Linked DNA regions of Macaca fascicularis. The protein of the gene in region 2 binds, or shares a complex with, the protein of the main gene of each other region. Links are inferred from orthologs where the notes say so. Each region holds a gene or a part of one and is shown on either strand. Other genes may lie near its edges.

Region 1 (3,030 bases), on a different chromosome or scaffold from region 2:
CTAAGATTCAGTGTCAAAACAATCTTGACAATACCTTACTATCTTAGTGATCCAGCATCAGGCCCAATTTCTCTTATGTTTTAAGTATATTCCTACCATTAGAGAATTTTGAGATGGCATGAGCATTATTGTTTTTTTAAATAATTATTTAAAATTTGAAAATATAGACACAGGGTCTCAGAATGTTGCCCAGACTGGTCTGGAAGTACTGAGCTCAAGTGATCCACCTATCTCAGCCTCCCAAAGTGCTGGGATTACAGGTGTAAGCCACCACACCTAGCAGAGATGACATTGGCATTAATCGTGAGAAATGGGAGTGGGAGTAGGGGACACAGAGTGGAAGGGTAGAAAGAAGATATTTGGAACTGATTGGCTTTAATAAGTCCTGCCCCTTTTCATTTACTTCTTCCTTAAAAGCAAAACCAAAATGAGCTACTGAAGATTTATTTTTTCCTGGGATGGAAGTATTATCTGCCCCAACTTCCCTTTCCCATCAGAGACAGGTCCCTAAAACCGCGAAAGAGAGACTATATTCTCAAACAAAACATGCATTCAATTCAGGTGACTGTCTGATATTTTCATAACATTTTCTTTAACATTTAATAGAAACTATATACAATAAATTTGTACTATATTTTACATAAGATAGCAACCACAGAAATTTACATAGGTTAAAAGCAAGATGGATAAGGAGGACCCAGTCCTGTGGGCTGTTTTCTCAGAGGATAAAAGCCAGAGTTCACCACGGAAACAGGTTAAAGATTGCCCAATTAAGTAGAGGTGAAGAAAAGTTAAACTGCAGGTCTTTAGATAGAGATAACCAGATATTAGGGCCATCAGTATCTAAAAGACACTACTCACAAAGACAGCTCCCACCTAGCTACTTAAGTGGATTTCTATCCATGACTTTGGAAATCCCATTACAAAGATGTCACTTTCCTTTTAGGTATAGTACCAAATAATCCCAGAAGCTTTGATAGGGATTATCTCTCTTCCTTGCCCTGAGTGGGAAGAAACCCACAACTTTTAAGAAGTATTGGTCCATGTCCTCAAAATTTGGCTTTACTTTTGACTATAATACTCAATCCAGAAGAAAAACAAGATAGTCTGGGTTGCCTGTGTTTTGCGAGAGATGATCAGAAATATTTCTTTGAAGAATGAGAAATTTAAATCCACCAAAGTAAAATGGTTCCCCAAACTATCAACTAATAGAAGTGGGTTCTGGCTTCCCATTTGCAGTAGCCAATCCACTCTGAGACAATGGTGCAGAGGCTTTCTCAGAATTTCGAGATCCCTGGGATCTGCACCCATCTCCAGCCATCTGCATCTGGCCCTGTTAAAAGAAATAAAGGCACTTCAGTTAGAAATTCATTCACTGTGGTCTGAAGTATGAATCTGACTTATCAGTGGCCATTTATACTAGCAATAAGAAAAATACAACAGAAATTAATTAATTCTGGACAGATGCTCCTCCCTATATTAGCTATCCCTGTCCCTTGGAAGAGCCTACTCCTGAGCCTCTTCCAATGGGTTGGAGAGCTGTAGGTTGTTTCTTCCAAATGAAAGAGCCATTCCCTGCTGAGGTCCCAGAACAGCCAACAGACCATAGGAAGACAGTCCTTTAGGCCTCTGCTTGAAACCAACAGCTACAGTACAACTGCTGGTTTTCAGTCAGGGCCACTGGAATTCTACCCAAGGCTCACAGACAGAACTCAAATCACACTACTTTACTGGTCATTCTATAATGAGAACAATTTCAGTGCTGAACTCTCCCTCAGAAGGTACAGTTTACCTAGATTCCTTATCTCAAGCTTTTATTTAAATAAATTTATGTCCTACTCTGGGATATGAGGATCAGGGGCCATTAGGTGTTCTAAGAGTCTATCTGGAGAACTACAGCAACAAGGGTATACAGGAGCAAAGTAGGGCATTTTTAAAAGTGCTTTGCTTATATGGTATTCAATGAGCGAGAGACATGTGGAGCATCTTTATACTAGTGATGACACCCCACTCCCCTCCAGGAGTACATGCTATCCAGCAGGGAACCCTCTGCCTGGCCAGGTCTCTACATGCGGGAAACAGGTGGGATTGTTCTTGACTTGCCAAAATATCCACTGGGTCTTCAGCAATTTCTTTGACTAAATGATCTTCAAGGGTTAGTGAAGGATCAAAAAGCAAAGGTGAAGGAGGACACTGCATACCATCACCCACAACATCCAAGTCCTAGAAAACAAGAGAGAAAAGCCCATCAGCAATACCAAGGGAAACAATAATAAAGGTGGTATGTTTTTCAGCAAACTTTAAAGCAATACTCTGCTGTCTCCCTCAACCCTAGCCTACCTTTGATCAAAAAAAAATTTTACCAGAACGTCCAACAAATGAAACAAGATCCAAGAGCACTGAGAGCTCTTGCTGCCAAGTGTAAAACATAGACCAATATAGTGGATTAAAAAACACAATTCTGGCCACCACACCTATAATCCCAGCACTTTGGGAGGCCGAGGTAGGCAGATCGCTTGAGCCCAGGAGTTCAAGACCAGCCTGGGCAACATGGTGAAATCCTGTCTCTACAAAAACTGCAAAAATCAGCCAGGCGCAGCAGCACACACCTGTAGTCCCAGCTACTCCAGAGGCTGCTGAGGTGGGAAGATCCCTTGAGCCCGGAACACAGTGGCTGCAGTGAGCCGAGATTGAGCCTCTGCACTCCAACCTGGGTGGCAGAGTCAGACCCTGTCTCGGAAAGAAAAAAAATGTCCAGGAAAATTCATAGAAACACGAAGTAGGAACGGAGAATAGTAGGGAACAGGGGAAAGGGAAAGGAGAGAGTTACTGTTTAAAAAATACAAAGTTTCTGTTTGGATTGATGAAAAAGTTCTGAAACAGAAAACATTGATAGCTGTATAACATGGTAAATGTTCGTACCACCACTGACTTGTACACTTAAAAATGGCCAGGTACAGTGGCTCATGCCTGTGATCCCAACACTTTGGGAAGCCGAAGTGGGAGGATCACTTGAGGCCAGGAATTCAA
Region 2 (3,654 bases):
TTCTGGGAGAGAAGCCACAATACCCAAGCCATCCTTGATCTGTGATGGATTGACCTTAGTGCATTGAGAATGGTAATAGCTGTATACCACCCTTACGAAAACAGAGAAAATGTATCTCTGTTCAGATGAGGAAACCCAGTTGAGAAAATCTGGAAATTTTAAACCTCCAGGCAGAGCACCATGTTAAGATGTGGGATGAGTGAGAGGCAGGCCCTTTTATGTAAAGTGGGAGAAGGGCAGTTAAAAGCAGTTATTATACAAGGAGGGGTGGAAAATGTAAACTGGCAGAAATCTGACATGTCCTTAGCTTAGTTTAGGAAAGAGTATCTGTGAGAACTGAGTGTTTTGAAACTGATTCTCCTTTAGCTATTCATGCCCTGGCTTATACCCTCGAGAAAGTATGTACAGGAGTAGTTGTACCCCAATAAGCAGACTGCTCCTTTGAAGCCACATGACTCCATTGAGATAAGAAAAAGGACATTTGGTTTTTATATTTTTATAAGTGTAGGATTTCATAACGAGTAGGATAAATTTAATATAGAAAGGATATTTTCCAAGTTTATGGTTAATCCTTGCCCAAGGCATTTGTAAAAACAGATTCCAGCCATGTCTCAGTTCTTTCCCAGTCAGACTGTCTGGATGGGAACCTGGGAATATGAGTTGTTAACAAGCTTCCCAGATGACTTATACTGTAAGAAGAGTTTGGGAAACACTCAAGTTCTGTATAGTCAGCCCCTGTTTATATACAGTATCAAAGGGAAGAAGACTTGCCAGATATCCTATATATTGTTCAAATCCCCTTAAAACATTACTTGGAATAAGTTCATTGATTTTTAGAGCCTTCTTTGAACACCCTAGATTGTATAGACTTGATTGGGAACAGGATATGAGCTATTTAGAGAGGATTGTTTGTATTTTTTTTTTTTTTAAATTTTTATTTTTTTGAGATGGAGTCTCTCTCTCCCAGGCTGGAGTACAGTGGCACGATCCCGGCTAACTGTAACCACTGCCTCCTGGGTTCAAGTGATTCTTGTGCCTCAGCCTCCCGAGTAGCTTGGGACTACAGGAGCGTGCCACCATGTCTGGCTAATTTTTTGTATGTTTAGTAGAGACAAGGTTTCATCATGTTGGCTATGCTTGTCTTGAACTCCTGAGCTCAGGTGATCTGCCTGCCTCTACCTCCCAAAGTGCTGGGATTACAGGCGTGAGCCACCACACCCAGCCAGCCTGTTTGTATTTATGTTTAACATGGAATGTGTGGGATTTCCAAGTTCTGCCAGTTGGAACAAAATAATACTGGCACATTGGGAAGCTTGAACACAGGAAGAACCTTGGAGTTCAACGGTCTTCTGGTTTGCTTCCTCACACTTCAGGCCTGTGTCTTGTTGAGCCATTTGACCTACCTGAAGCTACAGGTCTTAGATGAATCTTTTCTGTCCCTCTTCCCCCTTCTCATCTTTCTCCCTTCCCTTCCTCTTTTCTTTCCATTTACTTCTCTTCCTCCATCTTCCTTTCCTCCTTCCTCTTCTCTCTCCTCATTTTACCCTTCCTGAGACCCCTTAGCCTTGCCTTCCTGCCCAACTTCCCAGTTCCTTCTGCCTGCCTTTTTGATTCTCATCTTTTCTGATTTGGGGAGAGCTTCTTAGGTCGTAGGTTTAAAACTAAATAGTAAGGGCCAGGCTCAGTGGCTCACGCCTGTAATCCCAGCACTTTGGGAGGCCGAGGTGGGCAGATCACCTGAGGTCAGGAGTTCGAGACCAGCCTGACCAACATGGAGAAACCCTGTCTTTACTAAAAATACAAAATTAGCCAGGCGTGGTGGTGCATGCCTGTAAACCCAGCTACTTGGGAGGCTGAGACAGGAGAATCACTTGAACCTGGGAGGCAGAGGTTGCAGTGAGCTGAGATCGCGCCATTGCAGTCCAGCCTGGGCAATGAGAGCGAAACTCCATCTCAAAAAAAAAAAAAAAAAATTAATAGTAAGTATTATGCCGGGCAGGTGGCTCACGCCTGTAATCTCAGCACTTTGGGAGGCAGATCACTTGAGGTCAAGAGTTCAAGACCAGCCTGGCCAACATGGTGAAACCCCATCTCTATTAAAAATACCAAAAAAAAAAAATTTGCCAGATGTGGCAGGCACCTGTAATCCCAGCTACAGGGAAGGCTGAGGCAGGAGAATCGCTTGAACTCAGGAGGCAGAGGTAGCATTGAGCCAAGATCGCGCCACTGCACTGTAGCCTGGGCAACAGACCAAGACTTCATCTCAAAAAAACAAGCAAGCAAGCAAGCAAACAAACAAACAAAAAACTAAATAGTAAGTACTCTTCAAAGGCTTACCGTCTGTACTGCTAAATTACGTCAGAGCTGGGTTTGCCGGGGACCAGCAGGCTTGCCTGGAACATTGACTATTAAGTAGCATAGTCTCCCAATAATTTTTTTAGGATTGTGTTTAAGAAAATACAAATTCTTGGCCAGATCTCATGGCTCATGCCTGTAATCCCAGAACTTCGGGAGGCCGAGGCGGCTGGATCACTTGAGGTCAAGAATTCGAGACCAGCCTGACCAACATGGGGAAACCGTGACTCTACTAAAATTACAAAAATTAGCCGGGTGTGGTGTTGGGTGCCTGTAATCCCAGCTACTCTGGAGGCTGAGGCAGGAGAATTGCTTGCACCTGGGAGGCGGAGGTTGCAGTGAGCAGAGAGCACGCCACTGCACTCCAGCTTGGGGGACAGAGCAAGACTCCGTCTCAAAAGAAAAAAAAAAAATTCTCTTAGACATTTTTCTTGTACCCTCAAAACTAGGCTCAATGCTAAGGTAATTAATGTAGCAAGTAGAGGTTGAAAACTGGAGCTGGATCATAGAAAAGATTCAGGAGGTCAATCTGCAAGGTATCTCCTATAAGGAAGTAATTTCTCACTCATTTTACTTTTTTTCTTTTATCTTAAGTAAGAATGACATTTTGATGGTCCATTTATAATGCAGTGATTTTTGCATATATATGTTTTATTTGTATATAAAAATGACAGACACTAAGAAATTATGTATCTTTTTTGTGTGGTTTTATAAACATGGTAGCTGTGGATTCAAACTCTCAAACTTTGCAACCAATAACATTGGAATTGAGAAGACGGAAAATATCAAAAGGATGTGAAGTCCCATTAAAACGTCCTCGACTTGACAAAAATTCATGTGAGTTTCCAGTTTGTTTATGTGTGGCTAGAATTTGACATTGTTTGGGTCAGCCTCCTCTATATTCATCCTGTCCCCCATTCCCTATAGGCTCTAATGTTTGTCTCTGGTCACATGAGGTAATGTGAGTAGGATGCAGTTGGATCAGAAGGAGTTTTTGCTAGAAGAAAAATAAATCCCAAAGCACAAACTGTGCTAATGCTGGGTTCTGTGGTATCATCTTCATATCCATAAATCACATTTGATTTGGATGCCACTGGAAATTTAATGGCTTAGGAAGGGATGGGTTTCTATGTAGAGTGAAACTTTAAAAATACTACTTATTGGCCGGGCGCAGTGGCTCATGCCTGTAATCCCAGTAGTTTGGGAGGCTGAGGTGGGTGGATCATCTGAGGTTAGGAGTTTGAGACCAGCCTGGCCAACATGGTGAAACCCTGTCTTTACTAAAAATATAAAAATTAG

What was found. Proteins that work in one complex are often made in the same cells at the same time.
Region 1: PHF20 (region 2) and KANSL2 share a complex: the UniProt entries of both Homo sapiens proteins name them as parts of the NSL complex. The link is inferred for Macaca fascicularis from reciprocal best matches to the Homo sapiens genes PHF20 and KANSL2.

What each region holds. Positions count from the first base shown.
Region 1 is NC_088385.1:55,461,657-55,464,686, forward strand, and holds the end of KANSL2 (KAT8 regulatory NSL complex subunit 2), read right to left. Parts: intron 2,224-3,030; coding exon 2,104-2,223; intron 1,682-2,103; exon of another isoform or gene 1,545-1,681; intron 1,334-1,544; coding exon 1,202-1,333; 3' UTR 563-1,201; downstream 1-562. UniProt on the Homo sapiens protein: Non-catalytic component of the NSL histone acetyltransferase complex, a multiprotein complex that mediates histone H4 acetylation at 'Lys-5'- and 'Lys-8' (H4K5ac and H4K8ac) at transcription start sites and promotes transcription initiation.
Region 2 is NC_088384.1:91,946,743-91,950,396, forward strand, and holds part of PHF20 (PHD finger protein 20), read left to right. Parts: intron 1-3,078; coding exon 3,079-3,192; intron 3,193-3,654. UniProt on the Homo sapiens protein: Methyllysine-binding protein, component of the MOF histone acetyltransferase protein complex.